Oreochromis niloticus: one gene and its partner. The protein of the gene in region 1 binds, or shares a complex with, the protein of each later gene. Links are inferred from orthologs where the notes say so. Each region holds a gene or a part of one and is shown on either strand. Other genes may lie near its edges.

Region 1 (7,931 bases):
CCACAGATTGTCCTTTCAAGTACAATACTGCTGATAGTACCACTCATTTAACAAGCCTGTTTACCAAATTTCTGGTGTTGGTGTTGCAATGACATAAAGAGGTCAGATTTTGGATAACTTAATAGACAATAACCTTGAGAGAAGACGAGCGGGTTGAAAACTTCTGTGCAGAAATTAAAGGATTACTGAAAACATAAGAGTCATTAAAAAAAACAAACTGTGCCTTAATGGTATTTTCTCCTTGGGACATAGTAAATGAGTGTGGTAAACCCCAGCTGTGGATGGTTGAGTTTAAACATACAGGTTGTAAAGTTTAACAAGAAGCTACATATTAAATTTCCTCCCACCAAAAGCTGTTCCATCCTGCCACCTCTGGAAATGTCTTCTCTTGCCAGTGTTATGAATAATACATTTAAATATTTCAAAAAGATAAAACAGCGTGATCGGTGAAAGAAGGTAAGCTCTATCCAAGTCCCTGTCCTGCCCTGTCCTCCACCTCACCCCATCTCTCATCAAGCTTCCTGCCACACAGGAACCAGCAGAACCAGGAGGAAATCCTTCCTGAACTGCAAGCTCGGTGTAATCTGGGAATTTGGGGGACATTGCAACGTCGGCCCAAATATCAGCTGCTGGACAAACAGACTAGCCTTATCTTTAGCTGCACATGAGGGAAAGAAAAACACAGATGACAGCCAGAGCACTGTGCTGACCTCCACCTTGGCTGTACTAGTCTTGACATTGAAAGTTTGCTATGATAGAAAAAAACTTCAACCATATCAACTTCCCACAGCTTTGCTCAAGCTACAACTGTTAGGCTGACAGTGGCTGTTACAATCCTGCTGCAGTACTGGGAATCAATAAATTGGAGAACAAGTCACTATATGAAAAGGTTACAAGCAGGCACGTGTCAATGAACCAATGGTTTAAACCAGGGGTGGGCAATCTCTGTCCACGAGGGCCGGTGTCCCTGTAGGTTTTAGATCTCACCTTGGGTCAACACACCTGAATCACATGATTAGTTCGTTACCAGGCCTCTGGAGAACTTCAGGACATGTTGAGGAGCTAATTTAGCCATTTAAATCAGCTGTGTTGGTTCGAGGACACATCTAAAACCTGCAGGGACACCGGCCCTCCCGGACTGAGATTGCCCACTTCTGGTTTAAACTCTAAACATGGCAAACGTGCTTGGACTTTCCTCTGAATTCCACTGCTACCCCAGACATACCAAGCTTTACCTAAAAGTGCTCTAAGTAAAAGGAATTAGTGTTTACTGTAACTAAAACTTACCCAAATGAGTCATCGTCTGTATTTTGGGACAATATGTAAAAAAGGTTTCCAATAATTTTCAAAGCTTTATGTATAAAAAAAAAAAAAAATCTAAATGAAAACAAGAGAAGAAACTGTGTTTACTGCATCGGTTTTCCAGCTACTCTGGGGATATTACCATTAGTCATCAAATAAAAACAAGAGAAAATTAACTGCCTAGATGTTCACCTCTGTGTAGTCCACGTCAAGAAATATGCATACATGACCTACTTTGAATGATATTTCTGAAAGACATGATTTATTGCACTCAGAGTGAACAGACTGCAGTTTTTCTCCAGATCTCTTTGTTCCTCTCCACACTGACCTCGATTACTGACAAAGCACTGAGAATAACAGAAGAGCACCAGATATAGTACTACAGCATTCATGATGTTGTCAACAGAGTTCTGATAGGAGGCGACTGTAACATTTGACCTCCTTACCTCTAATACAACGTTTCAGTCCCAAATACGAGTAAACCAGTAATAAACCAGTGATATTATCACCAGATATTAGCCTATCACATATATTTTTCAGTCAGTGGATGCGCTCTTCATTTTTAAAAAAGGATGATGGTGCCTTCAAATTCCAACACTGCATTTATTTTTGTCTTTGATATGATTCGGCATGATAAAATGTACAACTTGCACGTCATCGATTGTGTTTAAATCAGTGTAGATTCAGCATTCACTTGTCATTATTACAGTTTATGAATGAACAAGCCGTGCAAACAGACCGTTTAACAGCGCTTATGAACAGCACAGGTCAGGTGACTACCGAACACAGTCGTGTCTCTTGTTATTAACGCAGCGCAGGAAGACAACAGTTTTATGAGCCTCATAAATGCTGCACTTCCTTGTCCAGTGGATTAAAATAAATGACTGCTCTTGTGTAACACGTTTGTGTCATTATTAAGTGAAATTTCTCAAACAAGGTAGAGGCAAGTTGACTGAAACTCGGGAGGGTAACCTGCAGTGAGAAAGCCCTGTCCTCACTCCAAAAGTCCAAACAGAGACTTCAACCTGTGCGACTCGATGCTGAATGACGAAGCTTCAGATACGTGTTAAACACTCTAATGATGGCACAGGACCGAAGAGCAGCAAAGCCTGTGCTCGGCATCTGTTTCCCTGCATCAGTTAGCATTATTGGCTGGCTAGGTAGCCGCAGGGGAGCTAGCTTGTATTAGCTAACATCCATGCCTCATCATCACAGTGCGCCTTGTCTCATATTTTAAATGAACAAAGACTTTAAACAGCAGAGGGTACCGGCATAATACAGATGCATGTTACAGGTCAGCTGGCTGGACTGGCACTAAGCAGCCAGCTGACCTGACGCCTTGTTTGACGTTAGCCGTCGGCTGGTGCCAGCTAGCTAGCGCCACTTAGCTAAGCCTCGACGATGCAGCATCCAGCTCCCCGGTGACATTTCACTCACCTAACAGAGTCCGGAGGTGTTTGAACCGGGTAAACACATCCTTCTTTGGGTCCAGAACTTTCTGTGTAGATTTCTTGACGTCTCCATGCCCCCTTCGAGTGAACATTACGCTTTAAAATGCGACCGTGGAAGCTGAAATCACCTGTGTTTCACCATACACCGAGCCTCCCGTGTGACTGTCACTTTCCTCACTGCCACTCTGTGCTTGCTCGGTAAACAGCCGCCCGACGGCCGCTGGAGTCTCCTGTTTTAGTGGGTGTGTAAACACGGAAGCGCAGTCTAACGGAGGCGTGGTTAGACCTCATGAATACGCCTCCGTGTTTATGTCTTTTACACCTTGCACCTCCAGCTTTGCTCTCCATCCCTGCTAGAAGTAAGGTTACTCATTTCTGTTTTCTCGGTTAAGAACAGACTTATTTAAACTCCACTGAGGAGTTTGTGTACTTTAATTTCAGAAACTGATAGTAGTGGGCTTGAGTGCACTGTCCTGTCTAAAAGTTTGAGTATTGGCAGCAAGCTTTAGTTTAAAAATGGGATTGTGAGACTGTATACCTCTGTATTTTGATAAAAGGGGGTTGACATAGCTCCCAAGCGCCCTCTGGTGTCTAAGGTAAAACACGACAGTAGAGGAGCAGAGGATGGATATTCATGATACTATACACTGATAAAAAGTGCTAAAAAGTGATTTCCAGTATTTTCCCCAAAATGATTGTCTGTATTTAAACTGTTGTAAATGATCTGTTAAACATGTCTTTCATGAATGATATTAAGACATTTTTAACCAGAAAGAACGGAAAGAAAATGTATTCTTTATTTTAATGTCATTCACATTAAAAATGTGTTTTACAAGAGATCCAACCAAGAGGAAATTGCAACAAGGATAATATCACAGTTCGGATTTTTTTGTAGACTCATAAAGATACTTGCAAAAGAGGTAATTTCTTTATTTTTTATATATGATCCCAGTCATAAATCCTGTTTCATAAATCACCTTTTGGCATAACAACAACAAAAACAAACAGACATGTGCTTGCAAATTAGAATTTGTTTCATGGAAATTACAGATAAAGTAGTGATTGCCCATTTTGTCCAACACAAGGTCATCACAGGTGAGTGAAGAATAATTTGTGAAGTGAAGTATAAAAGTATAATTGGGTTGAAAAACAAACCCAAACAAACAAAAACGAACTAAAATAATATGCTCTGAAATGAACAAATTAAAAAAAAAAAAAAAAAAAAAAAAAAACTAACTAAAATAAGATTTTGAATCACTAAAGCTAGAGAGGGACACGGTGTGTAGGTTCACACATATTAAATAAAATAAACAAAAGTAATATCAAAACTATGGGACAAATGAAATCACCACTTTTTGAAGGACATAAACAAATCACAATTATGAGACACCCTCTCCTTTTTGGGATCATCACAGGGAATCACCTGGCTCCATCTCACCCTGTCCCTACCATCCTTCTCTGCCACACCAGCCCTCTGCATGTCCTCCTTCACGACATCCATAAATCTTCTCTGAGGTCTTCCTCTTTTCCTCCCGCCGACCAGCTCCATTTTCAGCATCCTTTGTCTACTGTGTCCAGTATATGCTCTATCCCACCTCTGCACATGTCCTAACCATATCACCTCGCCTCTCCACCTTTGTTCCCAAAGTGCTCAACCTGAATTGTTCCTCTGACGTAGCCATTTCTTATCTTCTCCATCCTGGTCACACTCAATAAAAACCTTAACACTCGTCTTTTTGTCAGCTCCACCATCTTCAAACCAAACCTCATAGCAGGTCTCAGTACCATCATTTCAACCTTTCCCTTCACTCTTGTTGCTATTCTTCTTTGTCTAACAGCCAAACATGCCTCAAATAAATTAATTGGAATTATTTTAATTAACGCTACATTTTTTCCAGATCAAGTAGAAATGGAAACACTCGATGTTGAGGGGAAAATGATGGCGTAATCTACAAAAACACCAAAATGAATACTTTTTTGCATCTCCTCTGGCTTTCATAACAGCCTGATTTTTTTGAGGCATGGATGGATTTCACTAATGAAAAGCAATATTCTGTATCAACCTGCTCTCTCAACCAGCTTTCCCAAATAGCGGCTGGCAGATCAGCTTTCCAGGATGGATACTCACTATGGAAATTTCCTTTTTCAATTTCCACCATAAATTTTCAATCAGACTCAGATCCAGACTGTTTGCTGCCCATGGCACTAAGTTGATATTAGCTGCCTTTCCTGAAGAAATGCTTTAACACTCTTTGCTCTGCAGCAAGATGCATTATGATGCTGAAAAATGGCTTCATTATCACCAAACCTACTTTCTATCAGATGAGAAAAATGTCCAACATGTAAGTGTGCTCCTGTGTGTATAGTGTGTATAGTGCTGAGTTAATGATGGTCATACCACCCGGTACTTTAGCTGATATGCAACCCCATGAGCCAGGAAATTTGTTCAGGTAGTCGTCTTTAAATGTTTCACACTGCAGATTTGTGATTTGGCATTGAACATCACTTTCATCCATGCTGCTCCTTGGCCCTCTATATATTGTTTTCTTCTTTTTAGGTCTTAATCTTGCTTTTTCTTTGGCGTCTCTGCACGTAGATCCCAGTTCACTCAGTCGTTCATTTTTTACAGCTTCTCATTTTGTCTGGTAGTTTCACTTTTTGGAAAGAGACAGAATATCAACCAAAAGTCCCCAAAAAACACATCACATAAAAGCTATAAACTGATATGGATTTGACCGAGTGAAATAAATATTTGATCCTTAAGGAAGTCATCACTTAGTGCCTGGTGGAGAAACCCTTGGTGGCGAGCACAGAGGTAAGACCTTTGCTGTAGTTGGTCACCAGGTTGGTAAATGATTGGTAAATGATTAATAATATTAATTATTTCCTCTGCTGTATATGTATGTATGCAGACACAAGCCTGCACTTTATCTCACTGTAGTTGGAAGCCTGGGAACACGTCAGAGGGTATATTCAAAATATTTAATGTCTTCCTGCAAACCCTCAGAGCTGAATTCACTAATTTTTAGAGTGAAGTTAAAAATGAACCGAGGAACCCAACTTTCAGATTAAAAGGACTTGCATTTTTTGATATTCACACCCTGCTATGGTGACACTTAAAAAGAGAATGAAGGTATAACAGCTTCACTGCTCATTCCAGCTGCTGCCACTTGACACTTTAAACTGGAGGTTTTGATGAATGAATATAAGAATACAAGGTAGTTTCAAAACAGCAAAGCTTTTCTGTAGTTTTAAGTACTCTTACGGTTATGATACCTTAAAAAGAGTTCACTGTACTCGTGACACTACTGGGTTTTATTTTTTCAGAACAGCGTTCTGAGATAAATAATAAGTTTGAAGAACATGGATAGATTTATTAATCAACCCACTAAAGTGACATTCAGCGCAGTCTCACACTTTTACTTGTCTGAACCAATCTGTCTCATTTTGTAAGCAATTCTGAGAGTAAAATGATTTTACTTACACTTCTTAGTAACTGATTAAAACACAGATCCGACTGCAGGCTTAAAATCTTTTTAGCCTTATGTGAAAAAATAAAGGTTTATACAACTACCGTGCCACCGCTACGAATGAAAAATCGCATGGCACCTCCCACCTTAGGATCTGCCTTTATTCTAGAACAATGTGTAGTGTATTTAATGAAGCCATGTAAAATTCGTGCTATGAATATTTACCAACTTACATACTTTCATAAAGATTTGGTTGCTTGATCTTGTACAAGCTTTGCTCAAACTTTCTGTAGAAAAAGGTGAATGAGGTGGACTGAGAGGCTGTAACTCAGGAAATGCTCATAGTATGAGTGTAAAATTCAAATGGCTTAATTTTATGTGACTCTGAGGGAGTCAGGTGGAAACTTTTTTAAATATGGAATGATCCTTTATGACGTTATGTAATACTATCTTTTTGTTTTCTAATTATTGTCCTCACAAACACCCATCCTGGGTTCTTCGAGTTGACCTAATTTACCAGAAGATGGCGCCTAAACCACTGAAGCAAACAAACCTGCTGAGCTGCAAAGGCTGCAGATCTGGATTTCTTTCTTTTCCCAAGGAGCAAATATGCTTCATAGCCATAGGTCTGCAGATGCAGGTGCATCGGCGCAGATAAGAGTGACAGAATCCATTTAAATAGCAATAACAGAATAATCTGTAGGAAAAGTCTCATAAATTCTCATGTTTTGTCTGAATACCAAAAAACAAAATTGTGAATGTAAAATAAAGATGTTAACAAGAAGTTGAGTCAACGGTGAAGCATTGCTTTCATTAAAGAAAACAGGACTGCATTCTGTTCATCTGTCACCCCCACATATCGAGCACTGACAATGCTGTGAAAGCATTTGTCTCTCGTTTTCAAGGTTCCCAACAATGGATGTCTTGAATGATAGAGAGGAAAACAGAGGGTAGTGAGAGCAGAGGCCAAAGAGGAGTAAAAAGAGGAGTAAAATCAGCCTTTGCCCTGCAGTTTGGTATGACACTCATTATCTGAAGTGGGCCATTCTGAGAAAGGAGGAGGGTGCCTGTCACAACAGATGTTGATTACACAAAACAGGGTAGTTTGGAAGAATGAGTGAATAAAACAAGCTCACACATGCTCGCACACACACACTGGGTTATTATTGGTGCTTTGTCATCAGTCTTAATTGACTGTAATCACCATTCCTTCTTGGCAAACCTCCCCTGTTCTTGAAGAGCAGGTTATTGCTCATTATCTAAGATGGCACGGACCTACGATAATCTATCAACACTAACAATGGGACTGGATATTTTCCTCTCTAATTTGGCACCTGGAAGGAGTTCGGGTCCAGCTCATGTTTGAAATCATATACCGTACGCTGAGGCAGAGGTTGTAGCCCGCCGCAGAGCCACTGTTTCCTGAAAACTGGTCCAGTGCAGAGTTAAAACTCTTACTGTGGCAACAGTCAGATTATATTGGAATTGTTTCTTCTTCTTTTTTTTTTTAAACAGGACTTTTGAAGCATAACCAAACATAATTCGTTACTTTTCATTCCCAGCTTTCAAAGATTGGCAAGTGCGCTCCCCAACACGACCAAATGGTGGCACTGCAGGCTTACAAATGCACACCACCGCTCTCATGGCCAGACTGTCGGACTGATTCCAATCCAAGGTTTGAAAAGCACTTGTCTGCTCTAAATTGTTC
Region 2 (7,450 bases), on another chromosome or scaffold:
TAAAAAGCTAAAAAAGAGAAACTGTACATTCCTGTATCAGATGTGTTCCTGTGTAACCACATCCTTCCTCCAGGGCCGTACTTGAAGCAGGCCATCAATTATGTCATCAAGCAAAAATCCCAAACGGTTAAACGAGTCCCACTGCTAAACCAACATCCCGCCCACAGCGCGCTGCTGGGAGTGAACGCAGGAAGGAGCGTGTGTGTCAGATGTCATTGGATGGGGTCCCCTTGCTTTTACGTCCAGGCAGAGGGAAGGCCGACTTGCTCTGAGGCTGCGTGAGGCGGCTGGTGAGCTGGGTGAACGGTTCGATGAGCGAGGTGCGTTCAGTGACGCTCACCTCCCACAGCTTCACCTTCTCGCCTCGCGCCCACTGCTGTGCTGCCTCGTGGTCTACCTGACGACGCTCCCGCAGGTCTGTTTTGTTCCCCAGCACTATGACCATCACCTGCACCCAAAACAAAGCCAAGTCACTTTTTAGTGATCTACATCATACACAGGAGAGAAAACCGATTCATACAATATGTTTAGTGTGGGATGTTAGAGTGCAACTTCTCTGTGAAGTTTTTGTTTTTCCCAAATAGCCGCCCGCCCGAGAATATTCTAAAGTTGAACTCATCTACACATTCAAGGGTTTTTTTACCCAACATTATAGAATTATACTGAAGCTATCTAACTATGAAATATGTTTTTATCTCTATATATCAATATTGTGTCTACTCACAGTAAGGAGGCTTTATGTTACTTTCTTACTGCGCTTCAAACAGTCGATGTAAAAGCTCACACCTGTGAGACTTGTGGTGTTCACCCTCAGCTGCGACTGTGGACGCTCACTGGAGCTTTTCCCCACACATTACTGCATGTCAAATTGTGTTTGGGCGAGATACCCAAATTCCACCCGATGCATCCATCGGTGTATGAGTCTGTGCTTAAAATGCATGGAGTAAAGAGGTGTTTTAATGCTGCGTCGACCTCACACAGCGCAGGTGTTTCGAAATATCCTCGTCACATGACCATGGCTAACTAAGGTTTTGGTGCATTCCATCCCAGTTTGAACACCTGGCTGACCGACTGCTTTTAGGTTTGGTTGACAGTGTGTAGAACAAACCTGATGACATTGCAAAGGCACAGAAAGCTTAACAGTCAGCAGTAGCAGCGGAAACAACACCCACAGTGGAACTGCTCATGCCACTGTGGAGCTCAAGAGACGCCTCACTGATGCCTTTGTTCCAACGACACGTGATCCACTAATTTAGTGATGAGAGATCAGGCTGTCAGGTCACTGTTAGCGGTGAATATGATGACCAGTGAGGATGACTACAACAAAGCTGAAACTTAAGTCAGTTTAAAACTCAAATGCTATTGGTAATGCTATCAGAATAAGGTTTGCAGCTTCCTCTGTGTCTAAAGAAAATTTTTTCAGAGCAGTTAAGAAACAGTGAACTATGTAGAATAAAATGCCAAAATGTTAAATGTTGTGTCAGAAAGGCTATCAGGCCCTGAACTCTGTCAAATTGGTGGAGCTACCCTCTCCACCTGTGATATTGTAGCAACATAAAGTAGTGTTTCGTATCGACTCTTCTCCACTTTTATCTTCCTGTTTAGGTCTGCTCTCGTCTGTGGTTTGTTATTTGTGTACTCTGAGGTTCTCTTAGTGCTGCTGGTCATGTTTTTGGAACAGTGACCTTATTATATGCATATCTTTAAAATGATACATACAAGTATTCACTTTTAAGAGCAAACAAACATGTTTTATACGGATAAATTTATAGATTTGTCTATATAAAACCATTCAGATGATTTCTAGCAAGTTTTAAAGACACGTCCAAACATATGTTATCTATTTCTATTCTCCATAAGGTCCAGTTTACACTGTTTAGTACTAGACTCACTGCAAAGCTGTACAGCTAAGAGGCGGAAACTAGAGCTGTTAACAAATATTCTAAATGTAATTATATGATTTAATTAGGCAAAAACTAGACATCTGATCACAGAAAAAAAAAAGCACATGTCATCTTCACAAGTGCCAGCAATCTGTGCAACGTTTGCCTGACCAGACTTCAACCCAGCCTCACCTCTTTTTTATCTCTGGACTTATCTATTTCTTTCTTCAGAATGTCCACCCTCTTGAAAGACTCCAAGCTGTCAACACTGTAAACAAGCACAAAGCCGTCTGCCACTGAGTAATAGTGCTTAGGGAGGTCTTGTCCATCATTCAGTCCCTTGGTGTCATAGAGCCTGAGCTGTTCCTTGACACCTCGGTCGGTTTCCACAGAGGCCACATACACGTCCTCCTGTGTCTCATTAGACTCTGACCCTGAAAGGTACAGACGAAAAATAAAAGAGTTACTGAAACAGCAAATGAGGATCTTGGCAATGAAACATTGGAATGCTCTCAAACAGCGGATGTATCAACACCATGTAATATAAATATGCCAAACAATTGATGTCATACTGGAAGAATGTAAGTGTGTTTTGCCAAATAAAGAGTGTTCAAAGCTTCGTCACTGAAACAAGTAACATCCCATCGCTGTACGCCCAGTCCTCACCTACCTACCTACAGTGTGGTTTCCGTACAGCAGCTGTTCCAGAATAGCAGTTTTTCCAACAGCCGCCTGGCCGCACACCACAACTTTACAGCCTTTTCCCATGTCGAGTCTGTAATACATCAAGACGGATGGTCAGTTTGTACAGAAACGCGTTAGAACCACAGTAACATCAAAACGACCGACAGTCCCTCAAAACATCAACAGACATGTTCATCCTTAGCTTGTACCTAGCTGGCTAAAGCTAGCTATTGTTTAGCCAGCTAGCTGAAATACGAACACATATTTTTAAATTCTTTGTATGTCTGAGAAAAGTCGCTAACTTTAGTGTGGAAGATACGAGGCTTCCGTCAAGTCTGCAAGCGTAGAACCACAACCGGAGGATCCATTCTGCTGTGAGATTAAAGAGCGACAGGTTCTGTCAAAGCGCATGCGCAGTTCACCATACGTCAGAGCCCTCGAAGATCACCAACTTTGCTCGCTTATGCATTATTTATTTATTTATTTATATTTATTTTATATGTAGAAAATATGAAAGCTGATTAAAGACAAGTTAAAATTACATTTTAAAAAAGTTTAACGCCTGTTATTAATATTGACTTTGTAATTGACTCCTTCTAATTAATTTGCAGTTCGACGCAGTAAATTGTGTCTTTATGTTTACAAATATTTTTGCTTTATATTTGTAGGAATGAAATCACTCGAAACTGGACAATGAGCGCGTGTTTGATTCTGAAAATTACCACATAAGTGACAAACGTGAAAAGTCGAAGAGAAAAGAAGACCACATTTCCCAGGAGCACTGTGAAAAGCGGAAGTACGCCACTGCCGTTTTCCTTAAGGCATGCTGGGTACTTGCCCTCTCTCTTTCCGGCTAGTACGCCATCATGTAAGCGAGTTTTTCTGTGCTTGTGACCAAATAGTAATCCGTTAAAATCATCATGTATATACGTTCATCTGTATCTGTGACTCGGGCTGTAGCTTAGTGCTTTGTTATCAGTCTGTACTCTGTGACTATTTCGTGGAAAAAGGTTAAAGGCTTTGATTAGAATCCTATGTTTTAGTGGCGTTCAGATGCTCTCTGTCTGGTAGCTAGGGACCGCTAACGTGTCGTTTCCACTGTGTGATATTTATGTAAATGTAGAGTTCTAGCGTTTGGATCACTGTTCCACGTACGCGTGCATTTCTGTGTAGTTATTTCTGTGGGTATTTGTGCGACAAAGAGCCGGTAAACTGTCCTCGGCTATGCTAGTCTTGTATACAGTTTATGCTAAGCATGGAGTGGCTACATCTTCTGTGTAGCTATTTCATGCTCTACATGTGTCTAAATGTTTTTGGGGAAATCTGAAGTATGGGAGTGTTGGCATAGCCTTCATATTCTGAAGGTATCCAGTCCCAGGTCACGTTCAGCCATGTGCTGTTTGAAGTGTAGTAATACATGAATTTATATTTAAAATGGGCCGGATTAATCTTGTAACCTGCCAACGGTTCAGTGATTTAAAAGAATTGTTAGACCGTACGTGCTGTGCTCTTCAGTGTAGCTGCTGTAAACAGTGTTTCTCTGCTGAACTGTTTGTTGCAATGTAAAGGGAGGTACCACCTAATGAGCTTTTAATTAACAAGCTGACAAAAATGACTTGACCAAAGTTTCTTTCTTTTTTTTTTCTCAGATAAGTCAACATGGGGGCATATAAGTATATGCAGGAGCTATGGCGTAAGAAGCAGTCTGACGTGATGCGCTTCTTGCTCCGCGTCCGCTGCTGGCAGTACCGTCAGCTGTCCAACCTCCACCGTGCTCCCAGACCCACCAGGCCTGACAAGGCTCGCAGGCTGGGCTACAAGGCCAAGCAAGGTGAGTGCTGTGCCTGTGGTTGTTCACCTCCATGTCTGTCACCTGTCATCATCTGTACCCGTTCAGGTAATTGCATATTTTTGTTCAATCGAAACAGGCTACGTGATCTACCGTGTTCGTGTGCGCCGTGGAGGTCGTAAACGCCCCGTGCCCAAAGGTGCTACCTATGGCAAACCAGTGCATCATGGTGTCAACCAGATCAAGTTTGCCCGCAGCTTGCAGTCCATCGCTGAGGTAGGTTCATACCTGCTGATCCAACCTTGGTTTCATGAAGCTACAGTAAGCGTCAGATAGTTCAGTACTGAATGTGACGTTGAGCATCATTAAGCCTGTTACCCATTTTTATTACATTAATGTGAATATCATGTTAGTAATATGAAAGGATGCATTACTTTACTGCCCACAGTAGCTTAGTCTGATAGGTTTAAATGGTGGATTTACAATATTAAAGGTCTAGTTGCCACTCAAACCCCAGCAAATAGTTTTCATCAGTGGTCATATCTTGTGTTGAAGCCTACAGAATGACGTGATCTGTGAACTGGAAAGTGTTTGGATTCCTGTTTGTTATAAAATATCCTTGGCAAATATACTGAACCCCTCAGGAGTCCTGTATAAATGTGACGTGCAATGTTAGATGCTGCATTACTTTAGTATGTGCTCTCTGTCTTGATGTAAATGTGTGTACAATTTTCCTTATCGCAAAATTGGCCATTTTCAGAGTGGACAGGTTCTCTGCAGAGAGTGTTAATGCAACACTAACTGCATTGAGCGTCTTCATGCAGCTGGTGGGATGAGTGGACACAGTGGCTTACATGGGCTTACCCACAATCTTTAATCACCATTTAAAAAAATGTGCATCTGTTTTTGGAAGAAGCAAGAATACTGCGTACCCTCTTGTGCAGCAGCTTTCATAACTTTATCACATTTACCTGTGATGCTACAGCTAGCCGTCTGACTGAATGAAACTAACATCGCAGGATGTTGGTGGCAAAACATCCAGTGAACATGTCTGGATGTGAAATGGGAAGTTGCAGTGGTTGGGAAGTTATTTTTCCCAAATGAAACTGTGGTTTTGGTGAGATTTGATGCATGCACTGGTGCAGATGTCTCTTGCTCAGTGGTGAAGGATGCTTGCTTTTGTTTTCCTGACATGTGAGCACACAAAGGTTAGCGGTGTTCCGAGTGGCTCGGGCAGGTCTGACATCGTCTGTGGGTTTTGAATTTAAAGCTTGTTTCCAACAGGGGCTAGCAGATATTTAATGCTTCACATTGTGATTGCCCTTCTAAGACTAAACATGACTTTTATTTTGTAGGAGCGTGCTGGCCGTCACTGTGGAGCCCTGCGAGTGCTCAACTCTTACTGGGTGGGCGAGGACTCCACCTACAAGTTTTTCGAGGTGATCCTGGTCGATACCTTCCACAAGGCCATCAGACGCAACCCAGACACCCAGTGGCTCACAAGAGCTGTGCACAAGCACAGAGAGATGCGTGGCCTGACATCGGCGGGTAAGAAGAGCCGCGGCCTGGGTAAGGGCCACAAGTTCCACCTGACCATTGGAGGCTCCCGCCGTGCAGCCTGGAAGAGGCGCAACACCCTGCAACTGCACCGCTATCGTTAGAGCGTGCCACGCATGCCTGTACATTTACAAAAATAAACAGCTCTTTTTATGGGGAAGATCTGTGTCGTCTGTTTCATTGTGTTCGTAGAACGTGAGCGCCTTCTTGGACTGATGCTCTTTTAAAGGGTTGTACCTGTACAAGTGAAGACATTTACACTTCACTGGATTAGGAACAAGGTTATTAAAAAAAACAAACAAACAAGCTGATTTTAATATTGTGGGAACTTTCTGTACCTGTGGCACTTTAGAGAAAAAGCCATTCAGATGAGCTGCAGCTGAACTTTTTTGAAAATGTAAATTCAAAACTAAAGAGATTATAATTTAAAAGGAACTCTTCAATAATTTGCAGTTAGCAAAGATTTGTTATTAGTCTCAACCCTCACTGAACAGCAGTGAGTGCACAACAAGAATTCACCTGGGGTCAACTGACTTATTAATGGGATCAGCACTCGGCCAGTTTCATGTCGTCAGCGTGCTAGCTCATGTTAGCAATGTTAGTGTGCTACATCTGATGTCACCTGTGTGGGTGTCTCAGCCACAGGTGCTTCATTATCAACCTTCTGTAAGTACACAACTATAAATGACATGCCCTGGTGCTCCTAGCCATCTGATAACTGAAGGAGCAGACTGAGACGCACAGTTTCTATCAGGCTTTTGGAAGCACTATAGTTTCCTTGTATTTAGTGCTGTAATGTAAGTGATTCTTAGTTGGTACTAAGAAGCCCAAACAGCCATCACACCACCAGCAGCCTGCTGACAGGAGGCAAGCTGCTTCTGTGCTTTAGTGTTGTTTACACCAAATTTTGAACCTGCCATCCAATGAAACATTTAGCATATCTGTTGCTTCAGTTTCTCATTAATATATGAGAGGAGTGGTACCTGGAACAGCATTCAGTCATGCTTTGCTCCACAGAACAGCAGATTTTGGAAATCGGTGTCTTCCCCCATTTGATTTTGTATGCTACATATTTCCCCACCCAAGGTTCATTAAGGTGTGTAGTAGGTGGTTGTATCGTCACGTTACCTGGGGTTGAAGACATTGGGTTAATTTTGCTCAACTGCCCAATACTGGCATGTTGAATATAAATACAATAAATAAAAAATATGTTTAGGTTAACCAGTATAAGTATTAGAATAACAGTGATGCTAATAGAACAGGCCTCACTGAGAGCCTGCACAGTCTGACCTGTGTGTGTGGTGCAGAAGGGTGGCAGTGACACACTGGATGCTTGACTTAGAAAATAAATAAATGGTGACTGACACAAACAGAGTTTTAAGAAGTAAAAGTATTCCCATGTATGTGATGGGATTAATGCTCATGTGAAAATGTGCTGAGGACAAATCTAAGTGTAAAAGTGGTTCAGGGTTCTTCCTTTTGTCTCTGTGAGATGAGCAGTTCAGCAGATTGGATCTTAGAGGTTCAGAGTTAAAGG

Evidence for each region.
Region 2: the proteins of ralgapa2 (region 1) and nkiras1 are in contact, whole or in part, in a crystal structure (PDB 9QU1), measured with the Homo sapiens proteins. The link is inferred for Oreochromis niloticus from reciprocal best matches to the Homo sapiens genes RALGAPA2 and NKIRAS1. Residues at the interface, in NP_065076.2 of Homo sapiens: Pro20, Lys21, Tyr51, Ser52, Gln53, Phe56, Tyr59, Glu60, Ile63, Arg99, Phe102, Arg103, Trp104, His105, Tyr106, Gln107, Ser108, Lys185, Ile186, Tyr187, Pro188, Glu189; in NP_001364280.1 of Homo sapiens: Lys6, Glu22, Leu24, Leu25, Tyr26, Glu34, Met39, Glu40, Asp41, Val42, Tyr43, Met44, Ala45, Ser46, Val47, Glu48, Lys54, Gln56, His58, Tyr60, His74, Tyr75, Ser77, Phe78, Lys108, Thr162.

Annotation. Positions count from the first base shown.
Region 1 is NC_031983.2:27,729,308-27,737,238, forward strand, and holds the start of ralgapa2 (ral GTPase-activating protein subunit alpha-2), read right to left. Parts: upstream 3,039-7,931; 5' UTR 2,846-3,038; coding exon 2,740-2,845; intron 1-2,739.
Region 2 is NC_031985.2:38,827,212-38,834,661, forward strand, and holds the start of nkiras1 (NF-kappa-B inhibitor-interacting Ras-like protein 1), read right to left. Parts: upstream 3,027-7,450; 5' UTR 2,870-3,026; intron 2,659-2,869; 5' UTR 2,652-2,658; coding exon 2,558-2,651; intron 2,318-2,557; coding exon 2,076-2,317; intron 449-2,075; coding exon 206-448; 3' UTR 1-205. Other genes in the region: rpl15 (large ribosomal subunit protein eL15), read left to right, coding at 4,227-4,398, 4,496-4,632, 5,712-6,017. UniProt on the Homo sapiens protein: Atypical Ras-like protein that acts as a potent regulator of NF-kappa-B activity by preventing the degradation of NF-kappa-B inhibitor beta (NFKBIB) by most signals, explaining why NFKBIB is more resistant to degradation.